Styela clava: one gene and its partner. The protein of the gene in region 1 interacts with the protein of each later gene in a pairwise test. Links are inferred from orthologs where the notes say so. Each region holds a gene or a part of one and is shown on either strand. Other genes may lie near its edges.

Region 1 (8,037 bases):
CCGTCGCTATACTTTGGCAAGCTGTATTTCGTTATTGTGACGTCGCAGTGACGTAATTTTTGGATGACGTCATCAGGTGGGGGTCAGGAATCATATATCCAAAAATTGTTACGCCACGCCCACTAGAAGTTATTCAGGTAAGAAAGTACATGAGACCCCAGATTTGTTGAAGAACAAAAGATTGAACTGTTAGTGAGGTGGACGCAAAAGAATGGAAAAAATGCAACTTTCCAGATATTGAGAGATCTTGTTTCACAATATTATGCCTCTGAAGTTGAAGATGTTTCTGTAACCAGGGAAAGACTGGAAGATGTTTTTCAAAATATTGTTGACCGATTTTCAACTACTGAGTTTAAGGAATTTGCTCGATCAGCGAAGAGTGGTTTAAACCTTCCTGAACATACTATAGCCACTATGAATGAAGATAACAGATTTTCAATGGAAGAATGTAAACTTTCAATGCTTTGGGAATGGAGATACAGAACACATCATCTAAGTACTGATGATACAGTTGTCACCAAAAATATAAGAAAGCTGGTAGAGGCCTATATTACTTATTGCATTCCGAAACTTCAAGGGGATGAGGAGCATCAATTTATCAACAAACCAACAGAAGATCGGGAACTAGTCACAGAAAAGCCAAGTGTAGATAAGCTTGGACAATCTCAAATGATACCAAGTGAAGGAGGTGTTATACCATTCCAAGAAAACTCAAGTAAAGCTTTTGCTCTGCAACCCCCAATAGTCCTGAAAAAAAGTAGTTTTGAGGCGACTATGTCTGGTAAAAATGATGATGTACTAACATCAAGCAAATGGGCCCAAAAAAGTGAGGAATTATCTTCTAATAGATTCAAAATGTCTGCCGATGTAGATTTGAGAAGTATGGAATTTTGCAGAGTTCTGGACGAGTATATGAATCGTATGTTAGCCTATGAATTGAAAATATTTCAAGAAAAAGGGAATATTGACGTCAGTCTTCCAATGGTGACTGCATTATTAGATGATTCAAAAAATGTTGATGTTACAAGGATCCATGCTGATGATTCGGTCAACCATGTCATGTTGCTAGGTGACACAGGCTCTGGAAAAACAATATTTGCTTTGAATTATGCAATGATGGCTTCGAAGAAGAAGTTGGTGTTTTCCGCTGAGATTAAGATGGTCTATTATGTGGATGTTTCTAAGTTATACAGCAAACAAAGAACAACTCCTTTTGATCTTCTGTTTGTCCAACAGCTTGGATCGGAACTTCCTGAATACCTACATGATTCCGGATCAAACTGGTTGAAACTGAATTCATCAAATGTTTTGCTTGTATTGGATGGATTGGACCAAAATCAAACTCCATTAGAAGGTGATTATTCCAAAATTGGAGTGGACACTGTAGCAGATACCAACACAATTATCGCTAATGTATTATCCGGGCATATTTACCAAGGAATTAAATTATTATCAACATCACGCTGGCATGCATATTGGAAATTGCCCCCAAACATGAAAACCCCAAGAACCGTGGTCTTAAAAGGATATGATATAGGAAAAGTGCATCAACTTGTAGAAAATATATTTGGCTCCAAAAGTGAAAGCATGATTTTCGTCTGGAAAATATATGGGGCATTTGACCTTTTTTCAAACCCCTTGTTCATGAGATACATAACTGAGACTTATAAAAATCCACCAAAAGGTGCTGATGTGAATATCACAACTACGATGGTTTCAATTATGAGACTTTTCTCAGGATCTCGTCATAAAGGAAATGTCCAAAGTCTTGTGCCAAAAGGCATGAAGTTGGCTTTTCTTGGGATGATAGAGAATCGATTTGTTTTCACAGCAAGGTATATTGAGTCACTCAACCTGGATATGAGTGACATGCGTGGTCTTGTTGAGATGGATGCTGACACCCGATTTGTTGAGTATGTTGCCGACGATAATGATATGAGAATACGCTTTCTACACCCGCACATCCAAACGATACTTGCTTCCTTGTATGCTTGCAGTCTTGACTTGGAGGAATTCAAGAAGTTTATCGAGGATAATTACAAAAAATCTGGAATGGAAGTTGTTATAAAACATATTTTTATAATAATTCTCAACAAATCCACTGCAAAAAAAGCATCAAAATTTCTACCAGATAACTTGCATAGTAAGTCTGAATACCTGCTTGAATACTTGGGTAAATTATTGGATCAAAAAGTGATTTCGGATGAACTACTAGTTTCCATATTGCATGAATGTGGCCCAGATGTCTTCAAACAATTTACAACCAATGCAGAAGAGTTTGATTTCACAAAAACTTCTCTGCATCCTGGCGAACGAAATACATTGTTGTCCATCGCAAATAATGCTGTGTCATTAAAGTCCATTCGAATGACAACATTTGAAATTTGCTCGACAAATTTGCCACTCATGATATCACTACTCAGTTGTAATATTAGCATCCTGATTACTCTTCTTGAAATTATTGGTATGGATTGCAAAAATCTTCAAAAATTAGGTGAAGCTATAAAAAATGGCGTATTAACTGCTCCTACTATTCATTTAAAGAATACAACAATACTGGAACCAGCAGCATATTTCTTATTTGTCCAAGTGTTGCACCTTTGTGGATCTCGTTCTCTGATTTTGAATGACAATAACTTGAGTTCTGAAAAGATAGTAGAACTCAACAATGCATTTGTGGAATATAATGTGATTTTGGATGATTTACGAATTCATAGTCATTCTATAACAAATTTAGAAGAATTTGAGCTTCTTGCAGAGCTATTGAATAACACCAAAACCACAGTGTTTACAGCTATGGGTATATGTGCAACATATGATCGTTTGTCATCATTTTGCACTGCTCTACAGCAAAAGCAAGTTACATTTTCTTGCTTGAACAACAGAGGAATTGTGTCAATGTCCCCTACTGATGATGAGATCTTTGTGATGTCGAGGTTAGCTCAAAAAGTTCACAAATGCTTGTCGCTGGGCCCCCTGAAAATGAATAAATCACAAAAAAATATTTTGCTCAAAGAGATTGGAAAATTCTCAATAGAACGGTCAGCCCTTTCACTCGATCAAAACATCAAATTGTTTTCTATACTCTGGTCAAGAGAGAATAAGATAGATGCTAATGAACCTTTGGTCGAAGAAATTGGACCAGATGGTGGATTTATGTGGCTTTATGACTGCAAGCTCCTTGTGCCGCCTGGTGCTGTTAAAACAAAAACTACATTTTCTCTTTCGGTCAATAATTTCTTCGATGATTTCCCAGATGATTTACTTCCTATCACACCTGTCATTGAATGCAATCCTTCAATAACATTTGATACACCAGTTACTTTGACGATGAAAACAAATTTCTACAGTAAAAATAATCGGGAAATTCCAGTTAAAATTATGCACAAGGAAAAAGACGGGGAATGGACAATGATTAAAGATGTTAAGTTGAAAACCGAAAGTGAAATTGTGTTCGAAGTGGACCGTTTCTGCGATTTTTGCAATGGGAGTGAGAAGGACATATGTGAAAATGGAATATTTACTTTTATTAACGATCTCTACATGCAAAAACAGACAGCACAAATCATATCTGTTTTAACAAGAAATCGATCTGACCACGAAATCACAGAATCAGCTTTGAAAAAAAGAGGTTTTGTTGGAATTTTGCCTCTTGAGGAGCGATTAAACGTTGGTCTCAAATCGAAGATTGAAATAAAAATTGAATGTGATGATAATTCAGAGGTTCAACTTCCTAATATTCAGCCCCAAAACGAGATTATAGAAGTCACAAAGGATATTGTGAGACAGGGATTCTCTCATTTATGTTTTACCCCAAGTGATTCGATTCGTGACAAACGAGGACAAATCCGCATCAAGTATTCAATAATCTATTGCGAAAGAACCAGACATGTACCTGTTATAATAGTCTGGCCTATTGAAGAAAGCAAACCAGAAAATTTAAATGTGTACACTGAAATAAACACAGGATCACATGCATATGGAAATGTATTCAGAGATAATGCACATGCAGAAATACAAGAACATGGGTCAAGTCATTTTGTAATGGCAGGTGTAACACCACAATGAATCTTCCTTTCCATTGGTTCTAATGAGTTTTTCTACAAAATGTTGACCTTGAATAATTTTGTATAATGTTTGTTTTTAGAATAGAAAACTTCCATATTTTTTTTCAAGTGTTTTGTTTATATATATATTATAGTATGAAATTTATAGTTAGCGCATAGGTTTTCATTTATGTTGTATATGCTGTTATTGTAACTTTGTATATATCAAAAGCATCTGATTTTGCCAAGCAGTTATTTTGCCAGAAAAAGCTATTTGTTGAACACACTGATTTGTCTCTGACCTTTGAAATTTTTTTAATGCCATCATTGCAAAATTTTTGATGCTTATTTTGAGAGTTCGGGCTCACAAACTGGTTTACATGTTCATAGTCATGATTTTGATTTAATTATTCCCTGCTTGACGTTAAAAGTTCTTTTTTGATTTACTCCATATCTCTCGCTCCTAGTTTTTGTTTATAGCAACTGAACTAAATATCCTTGCTGACAAATTTACCATTGACTTATACATATTGATTTGAGTGGTTTTATATGCATTATTCTGTTAATTTTGTTTAGGTTAATTCTGTTAAGGTATGCAGGTCAGGTTATCACATCACTTTCTAATTTATAACTTGCACATTTTTTAAGGTTTTATAAAGAAAATAGAGATGGGTTTATGAAATATATTACCTAATGCTTGTTTATTGACACTATGCCATTTTCTAACCATGCAAATTCCGCTGTAAATTTTTATGCAAGTTGACTTACCACGCCTAGTTCATATATTGCATAGTACATGTATATATTTTTGTGTTTTTAGTTTATGAAATAAGCTTAGTGCTATAGTATGGCAGAATATGCCGAGCATGGGGATTTAAAATTAGACGATTCCGATGTTTCTGAAGCGAATACGTCAAAAAGAAGCAACACCTCTATGCATGAAGAAAGTTTTGATGAAAAACCAGGTAATTTACTTTATGCCTTCGCTCTGACAAGGTTTTAAACTGATGTTACCAGGTCAGGTAGAAATGTTGCTGTAGTATACTAATATTCTTTAGTTGATATTATTAGTATAATACTTATTTATACATACAATATTAAACAGTGGTTCTCAAACGGCGCAGCATGCCCCGCAAATAAAAATATTTGTTAGGTTTAATCTTGTCCGTCCTTAATTTGCATATTTACTTATCTTTATTATTGGAGATTGCAATTTCATCCACATTATTCAATGTGTTTTTTGAATAAAATATACTTTTGCCTCACTATCTGTTATTTGTAGCTTTTCTATTTTTGAGGTGAGGCGCAAGACTTGGAAAATTCTAAAATAGGCGCGGCTTGGAAAGTTTGAGAACCTCTGTTATTTATCACAAGTGATGAACAGGGACTTTTTTTAGTAAAGGAATGCTAGAAGCGGTTTTGCTTCTAACATTGTAGTCCCCTTCAACTCCTCTGTGGCCCCTTGCATAGGCCCCAGGCCCCCGGTTGGGAGCCGCTGCTTTAGGAGGTATCTTTATTTTCAGGTTCTTCAAAATTAAAAAGAAAGTTTGGTTCGCCATCAGGACCTCAAGAAAGCCCAAGCAAAGGAGACAAAAATACATCAATTTCATCGAAAGAATCACCAAAGTATGTCTAAAGAAGCTAGTTAAAAGAAATTTACTATCAAAATTTTTCAATTTCCCAGTAAAACATCTAGATGTGAATTTTTTCCCCTCTAAGTGTGGCTGAGCGGAATAATCTCATCTGAATTAATCCAATGCCGGTGCTGCCGCATGCCACTTTGTAATTTCTCAGGTTAGATGTCTAGACTAGACCTGATTTTTTTCCACTGAAAAGTGACTGAGCAGAATAATCCCATCTATTTAATCTAATACCGCTGCTGCCATATTTCACTTTCTAATTTCCCGGGTTAGATATCTAGACTTTATCTGAAATTTCCCATTGAAGCGTGAATGTGTGGAATATTCTCATCTAATTAAGCTAGTGCCGGTGCTGCCATATTTTATTTTCTAATTTCTCAGGCTAGATATCTGGACTAAACCCGAGTTTTTATCATTGAAGCGTGAATGAGCGGAATAATTTCATCTAATTGGGCTAATGCCGGTGCTGCTCTATTCCACTTCTCCAATTTCCAATTGGAGCGTGACTGGGCAGAAAAATCTCATGTTATTAATCCAATATCAGTTATATCATATTTTACTTTCAAATTTTTTATTTATTTTCAGAAAAGATCCTACGTCAGCACAACAGGCAACTGCTGATGAAATATTATCAGCGAAACGAAAAAAAGAAAAATCAGGAAGAGTTGAAAGAATGAAAATGCAGTAAGTTGGAAATTTAAATTTAGTTATATTTTACAGCAGCTCTGATGTTCTCATGAATTTTGTTTTGTAATGTTCTTCATGAATTCTTTATGAATTTTATAATGTTTTGAATTTTGAACCAACTCCATGGAAACATGCCAAACTACGATCATGCCATTTCTCCTGTATATGCTTTGTATTATATTTTAACGAACTGATTGGATTATTTGGTTGCATTAAGATGGTCTTTTGTAACAGTTGTATTTACATTAGGTTAAATGTGTTATGCGTTCACAAACAGTGAATTTATATAGATAATAGATGACACTCAAGTTGGTGATCTGTAAAGAATCTGCTCATCAGACTTCCCAACATGCTCAAATCTTTTCTTTAAATTTGTTTATTTTTAGGCGACTTGTGACAGCTTTCTCTGAAGACCAATTAAACAGATATGAAATGTACAGACGTTCATCGTTTCCAAAAGCTTCAATAAAACGATTAATGCAATCCATCGCTGGATGCACAGTATCACAAAATGTGGTGATAGGAGTTGCTGGAGTGTCCAAAGTAAGCTCGTCTTTATCTTTGTATTGGAATAGTTCAGGGCATAGATTCTCAAAGTGCGGAAAAACCTTGGTGCTCCGCAAGCCATTCATTTACTTATTAAAATACTGACTTGGCTAATTTTGTAACTGTCCAAAGAATAACGGCATTAATAAAATTTGACAACAGTAGCGTTGAAATGTGGAAATAAGGTGGTAATTTAAATATGACATTATCTATAAGTTCCAATAGAATAGATAATAGTTTCTAAAAAATTCATGGTGGGGCACTGTAAATAAATATTCAGGCCCTTGACAGGCTCCATAACACCAACAGTTCAAGAAACCCAAGTTTAGGATTAAATCTTTCACAAAAAATCTCATGGATTCGAATTTCTTAACAAATTATTTGAGAAAATTACTTTGAAGTCCAATATTTCTCTTGCTCTCATTACTGGAAATAATTGGCCAACTGTCAAGTCAGTTTTCCATTCACTAGAATCTGATACAATTTTTCTGATTTTGTTGTTTCCTATATTTTATCAGGTTTATGTCGGTGAAATCATGGAGATAGCACTTGATGTTATGGAGCAACAAGGGGAAACGCCTCCAGTGAAACCAAAACATATTCGTGAAGCAATCAGAAAATTAAAAGCCAGAAGAACTTTCCCGTTTTCTAAACTGAAGACTAACCCATTATGATGCCTGTATTTGAATTGTTTTGCCGAAGGCCGAATCCTACCAAGCCTGTCCTGAATGGCTTTTCTGGTTAAGAGATGGGTACATTGCTGTCAATTTCCTATCAGAATCATGAAAAAATGGACTTTTGTGATGCTTCATGACATAATCTTTCAGAATCAGAACTGTTTATTTTGGAATTATAGGGTGTCCATGAGGTCTTAATTTTTTTTAATTGCAAAGGAAATTTATCAATGCACTATATTGTTTTGGCCCTCACAGATGTATCAAATGTAGGACACCCTGTATATTGGGAATATTGTTAAGAAATATTACACCGTGTTTCTCAATTTTGTAGTCGCTGTGGTATTACTGTTGTTCTTTAGTTTTCGTATTATTACTGCAAATACAATACTTATCATAAACTACTGAAGGTTGGACAGATAATATAGTTTTATGCATAGGGAA
Region 2 (7,084 bases), on another chromosome or scaffold:
AAAACCACAAACAAACATCCCTGATAACCCACCGGATACCAGGGGCACTCCCCCAGACACTCATGACTGAAATCAAACCAAAAACCAACCACACTGTAGCGGTACCAACCACATCACACGCTAACAGCCACACATAAAAGAACAGAACCGAGAGTGTCACAGCGCCCCCAGTGTCCCCAATGCCAAAATACCAAATAAGGCAATATTATAACATGACAGCATTTAACAGATAAAACAAGGGTCGTCACACATGTAATCTGTGTAGTATTTCAAAATTTTGGGTTCACGAACAAATGTTATGTGCTTACTTTTAACTCTGGTATATATGTTTTTTTTCAAATTTCCATGTATCAACCGAATCAATAGATATACCAGCCGAAACAAAAGAGCTATGCTTAAATATATGGACACGTAGCGCCACCTAATGGCAATAATTTTGATGACGTCATAGCAAAAAAAAAGTAATAGCCTTCTGAAGAAAATTTTTATCTTCAACCACTGAAAATTTTAAAGCAATTGGTCCAGTAATCAAAGAGAAAAGCGATTTCTTCAAAACGTGTCAAAGAACAACAAGAGAGCTACGCACAAATATATGGACACGTTAGACCAGAGCGAATCAGTCCTTACCGGTACCTTTGACGCTACCGGTACCCTCAAAAAAGTTCTGAATTTCCAGTAGCAAGAATTTTGCAGAATCAAAACGTACAGCCAGTCATGACACTGACTAAAATCCGTGTTCCCATGGATAAAAAATAATACAGCAAAATTTTAGACGAAATATCAAATTTCATAGAATTCATGCAAAATTTTGAAATAAATAAAAGTAATAGCCTTCTAGCAAAAAAATTACTCTTTAACCACTGAAAATTTCAAAGCAATTGGTCCAGTATTCGAAGAGAAAAGCGACTTTTTAAAAATGTGTCAAAGAACAACAACAACAACAACATAATATTGAAACGATCGTTATGTCCACTACGTGTCCAACAAGAACAACACAAGAGAGCTACGCACAAATATATGGACACGTCAGACCAGAGCGAATCAGTCCTTACCGGTACCTTTGACGCTACCGGTACCCTCAAAAAAGTTCTGAATTTCCAGTAGCAAGAATTTTGCAGAATCAAAACGTACAGCCAGTCATGACACTGACTAAAATCCGTGTTCCCATGGATAAAAAATAATACAGCAAAATTTTAGACGAAATATCAAATTTCATAGAATTCACGCAAAATTTTGAAATAAATAAAAGTAATAGCCTTCTAGCGAAAAAATTAATCTTCAACCACTGAAAATTTCAAAGCAATTGGTCCAGTATTCGAAGAGAAAAGCGACTTTTTAAAAACGTGTCAAAGAACAAGAACAAGAACAACAACAACAACATAATATTGAAACGATCGTTATGTCCACTACGTGTCCAATAACAACACAAGAGAGCTACGCACGAATATATGGACACGTTAGACCAGAGCGAATCAGTCTTTACCGGTACCTTTGGCGCTACCGGTACCCTCAAAAAAGTGCTGAATTTCCAGTAGCAAGAATTTTGCAGAATCAAAACGTACAGCCAGTCATGACACTGACTAAAATTCGTGTTCCCATGGATAAACAAGAGAGCTATGCTCAAATATATGGACACGTAGAGTCACATAATTTTGATGACGTCATAGCGAAAAAAAAAGTAATAGCCTTCTGGAGAAAATTTTTATCTTTAACCACTGAAAATTTCAAAGCAATTGGTCCAGTATTCGAAGAGAAAAGCGACTTTTTAAAAACGTGTCAAAGAACAACAACAACAACAACAACACAATATTGAAACGATCGTTATGTCCACTACGTGTCCAAAAATAATACAGCAAAATTTTAGACGAAATATCAAATTTCATAGAATTCACGCAAAATTTTGAAATAAATAAAAGTAATAGCCTTCTAGCGAAGAAATTTATCTTTAACCACTGAAAATTTCAAAGCAATTGGTCCAGTATTCGAAGAGAAAAGCGATTTTTTAAAAACGTGTCAAAGAACAAGAACAACAACAACAACATAATATTGAAACGATCGTTATGGCCACTAAACGTGTCCAAAAAACGATCGTTATGTCCACTAAACGTGTCCAATAAATATATTCTATCTAAGTCAGATGTATGTTAAACCGTAGTAGTATATATTTACGGTTAAACTAGTTGAACACAAAAGCTTAAAGAAATGGTCATCGTGAGTGTGCGACACCAAAATTTAGTATAAGTCAAAATTTTAAGAAAAAATGCTCTAGACACAAAAAGAAACTTTAAAAAAAATTTAACAATAATAAGAAACAAGAGAGCTGTGCTCAAATATATGGATACGTCACAAGGTGTCGCTATTTTTTAATCTGACACATGAAAAACGAATCTATTGAAGTCCACAGCATTTTTGAAATAAGTAAAAGTAATAGCCTTCTGGCAAAAAAATCAATCTTTAACCAGTAAAAAAATTCAAAGCAATTGGTCCAGTATTCGAAGAGAAAAGCGATTTCATCATGACGAAAGAGGAGAATAATAACAACAACAACATAATATTAAAACGATCGTTATGTACACTGACGTGTCCAATAATATAATTCTTTACATATGATTTGAATAGGATAAAATAACGTAGCAGTTGAGGGAAGACAATTAGGACACAGTATTCAAAAAAGCACGTTTCATTATATTATTCAGCTGTACTTCTGTACGATTACGGAGCTTAAATTTTTATTTATTGACACATGCAACATCGAAATGCACAATCATTTTTATTCGAGAAAAATAGTACGTATTTGCAATATAACTGTGTGTTGGTTTTTAGTCAATTCGCCTCGAAAATCGTGTGAAATCGGTTCTCCAAAATTAGCGGCAACTATCCGGTTAACCGCATAGTTAAAATACGAGATACCCGGACAGGCGCGCAGCCAGGATTTTCAAAAGGGGGGGGGGGGGTTCATAATCATAAATTCCCATTGCGGTCTGTAACAGTCTTCGAATTACGCGCTCGTTAAAGGGACGTCTTTTCAGCGTATAATGATTATTCTTGTCGCGTGAAATATTCAATCTCTGACAACTACAAAATTCTAAAATGTTCTAAATTATTAAGTTAATTGTGTCCAACGTAACTCGCGGTTGCTTCTTCTTATGTCAAAATAAAAACATTAGTTCTCTGAAATGCCACGGCATCGGTGGACATAAAAATATGAGGACAAACGGTGTATTTAATTTTAATACGTATTTTTGGAATCTTGCCAACTCGTTATCGCCGTTAGAAAAATCACATTAACTGATATAAAATCCCGAAGAGTACAATTTTATTTCGTAATCAAAAATCGCCGCGATCACGCCACTTCTTAAACAACGAAAAATGATTTTTCTGTTGTGCTAAGTAATCAATTCGTGACCGATAAGGGCATATTTAAAATGTCTTGCTTTATTAATTTAATTGTCTTCAATTTAACCAGCATTTGCGTCGACAAAACAAAACAATTTTTTACAATTCACAATTTCAAAATACCTCGGCCATTTGCCGACATAAAAATAAAAATTTGTGGTAACTGCCCGTCGCCTATCATATATTGTTTTGATCCGTATTTTTTCTATTTTGCAAATTCGACAAATTTGAGATGTGCTTGTAACATTGACTTCGTTCAATCGCAATGCTGACACTCCGATTATTTTTAAAGATAAAACCTCCTGAAAAATCCGTAAATCTGCTGTGAATTCTCATGGAGTAAAATTTATTTCAGTACAATAAAGATTGATGGATATACTTCGGATTAATTATCTTATATATCATCACAAACCGGGAAAAAATCGTAAGTAATGGATAAAAGGCAAATCCCACCCACAATTAACCGTGTTTCGATTTTAGTGACGGTATGTTCCTAAACGGCGACCAAACATAATGTGCGCCATAGGCACACGAAATTTTGCGATTTTGCGACTAGAAAAGCTTTTTTAGACTGTCGCGGGACTCAACAAAACTTATATTGTTTACGGTTCTATTTTCAGTATTTTATAATGCCGCTTTTCAATCAAATTTAGATCGCGGTTTTACTCCTTCTTTTGTCTTTAGAACCTCGCCACCGATGAACGTATAATAACTCACGAATTCACAATTCCGTGCAAAGTACAAAAATAAAATAATTATCATGTTTATCGTGGCACAAATTTATGATTTAGAAAGAATAAAAACCGACGTAAGGGCGTTTACGGCCCAAATAACACGCTGATGAAAACATGGGCGATTTTAGCAGAAGGCAATTGCACGCTTTTTCAGTTTTCACATTTCCGTGCGGGTACAAAAATAAAATAGTTACCATTGTTCCCGCGGCACAAATTTGTGAGATTAGAGAGAATAAACACATGTAAAGGGCGTTCACGGAATAAATAACATGCCGCGTTGATGAAAACGAACGGCGATTTCAGCAGAAGGCAATTGCACATGTTATCGGCAACTTTTTCACTTTTCGGAAAATTCAAAAGGGGGGGGGGGGGTTCGACCCCGACCCCCCCCCCCCCCCCCCCTGGCTGCGCCACTGTAACCGGATATATCCGTTATCCGGATAGTATAAATTATAGGTATCCGAACTAACTCTAATTATATGATCTACTTGAATTTGCTGTTTTTTTTAAAGCCCCATCAAAAATGTTGCCCGATTTTGAATCGCGTTCACTCTCCTGTTTTTTTTTTTTTTTTTTTTTTTTAATTTATGTTGGGTAGTGGGTACGTGACTTTTTAACTTTATTTTAAGTTATGCTCGCATCCCGGGTATCTCTGCATTTTGTTAGTCTGTTTACTTTTTGTGTTGTTTATGCCGGAGAACCGAAATAAAATGAGTGATTGGTTTGATTATCCAACGAAATCTATGCTCGGGGTAGCAACCATTTTAGGTTTGATTTTAGATTACTGCAGATAATCGAAATTTTCACAATCAATTTTAAAATCTTTAAGTTGAATGTGGGTAAGTTAAATTTCCATTGTTACGAACTTACGATAAACCTAGTCACAAACATATCCTAAAATCCTGTTTATACACAAATGTATGCACGTAAGTTACCTGTGTCGCTTATGGCTCTATGGACTGCTCTTTGTAAAATCCAAAAAGCGGAAATCCGACGCGGCTTGTGAGATTTATGTGCGTTTTCATTTTTATAGGTATCGTTAGTAATTGCAGTAACATGTAAAATTCAGGTATTGAAAATTGAATTTATTAATTTCGGCATTCGTCTCAGACCCCCGACTAGCAGCTAACAAATTAATTTATTGCAAGCTCTCCAATAACATAAGAATTGGTGGAAATGGCAGACTCTGATGGTACAAAGCAAAGTCCTCAACATTCAAAATCTAGCAGCCAACAAGATTTAGATAAAAAGAAACGTCTGTTTTTTAAAGAAATTCGATGTATGATGTATGGCTTCGGAGATGATACCAACCCCTATACAGAATCAGCAGAACTCATAGAAGAACTTGTTATAGAATTTATAACAGAACTCACACATAAAGCATTGCAGATCGGAAGGCCTGGAAGAGTGCAAGTTGAAGACATTGTTTATCTCATACAAAAAGATGCAAGAAAATATGCCAGAGTTAAAGACTTATTAACTATGAATGAAGAACTTAAAAAAGCAAGAAGGGCTTTTGATGAAGCGAAGTTTTGATTTCCAAATTTGCACTTGAAAAAGAACTAAATGGGAAAAGAATTGTGAATATAAATGGTCCGATTGTGCAATAAACCGAATCATGTCTTACAAAGACTAATTCGTCTGTACAAAATATTTGATAATGTTTTAATCAAATCAAGAGGCCATAATTTATCATTCACTCTTTATATAAAATATTTATGTTTGTTTTGCTCTGAACAAGCAGCTATTAAGTAAGGAGCTATTATAGTTTGGAAGAACCGGATCATTCCGGTTTAGCTCTGCCTATCCAATTTATTATACCGGTACCATAGGTGTGATATCTTCATAGTTTAATCTGAAGCAGGGGTGTGCAACACTCAGCTCAACACACCTTGTCAACACTCAGATTTTCCCCACCAAGCATAAAATCCTAATCCGACAGTTTATGTTTAAAAATGCGCTCACATGGTTAAAAATATGTAATGTTTCTGTCCTCTTGTCGCTGCATTTGATTTTTGCATTGTGCGAATTTTTTAATTCGTTGTATCCATGGAAAAACCAAATTTTTTGTGCAGACCAGCTGAATGTCTGAAGTTGGTTATATGGGCCACCGACAAAAAATGTTGCACATTCCTGGACTGGAGTATAATTGTTTGAGTCTAGGCTACTCGCCTATTAGTATTTTGAATGTTTAAATTTCATTCCAATCTAAAAAATGCAAACTGGGAAGATTGCTATAACATAATTGGCACTTGATCACACTACAATGTGATGGAGATTATTCTGACCTAACTTACTCCATTAATTTTTTTTGATGATAGAGTTCGAACAATACTGATGTAAATCAAATTTTTTCAGTTTGTCTGGTGTTAACATATTTTCTGTTTTTGTTGTTTTACTTTATCTTACATTTATAGATTAACTTTCATGGTTTTTATCGTAAGTTAGTCATGTGATTTGAATCTAAGGATTGTCAAAATGTTTTACATTCCGCACAAGAATGGATGTTGTGAATAAAGCATCAGAATTTTTTGACAAGCACATTAGGATTGTGAAGGTAATTTTTGCTGTATTCTTTAGTGTATTTATTATGCCAGACTTTTTTTTATGTATTATTATTATGTTTTTAACAGAATGCAGGATATGTGATTGCTGGAATAGGTGTTTTTATGATTGTAAGAAGATCAAGACTCGTGAGTTTATATTTGCAATATCACTGTAGTCATTTATGGTAATTTTTGGATAATGATTCCATTATCTTGACATTTGTTGTTAACTAGAGTGGTAAATATATGAAACATATATGGCATCTTCACCGATTTTGATTTAAAAATGATGTTCAAAATATGGTTTTATATACTGGAAATAATTGAACTTTAACAATTGCAAATTTGCAACCCCATATCCACCAGTCAACATGAACCAATTTTCGGGGTGTTGGTAGTCCAGTAAAT

The links.
Region 2: the proteins of transcription initiation factor TFIID subunit 11-like (region 1) and transcription initiation factor TFIID subunit 13-like interact in a two-hybrid assay, tested with the Drosophila melanogaster proteins (2 studies listed by BioGRID). The link is inferred for Styela clava from reciprocal best matches to the Drosophila melanogaster genes Taf11 and Taf13.

The regions. Positions count from the first base shown.
Region 1 is NC_135264.1:15,684,659-15,692,695, reverse strand, and holds the start of transcription initiation factor TFIID subunit 11-like, read left to right. Parts: upstream 1-4,850; 5' UTR 4,851-4,893; coding exon 4,894-5,011; intron 5,012-5,569; coding exon 5,570-5,672; intron 5,673-6,271; coding exon 6,272-6,370; intron 6,371-6,759; coding exon 6,760-6,916; intron 6,917-7,437; coding exon 7,438-7,593; 3' UTR 7,594-8,037. UniProt on the Drosophila melanogaster protein: The TFIID basal transcription factor complex plays a major role in the initiation of RNA polymerase II (Pol II)-dependent transcription.
Region 2 is NC_135258.1:9,411,997-9,419,080, forward strand, and holds transcription initiation factor TFIID subunit 13-like, read left to right. Parts: upstream 1-4,707; 5' UTR 4,708-4,969; intron 4,970-5,240; 5' UTR 5,241-5,306; coding exon 5,307-5,666; 3' UTR 5,667-6,548; downstream 6,549-7,084. Other genes in the region: protein C3orf33-like, read left to right, coding at 6,631-6,687, 6,764-6,823.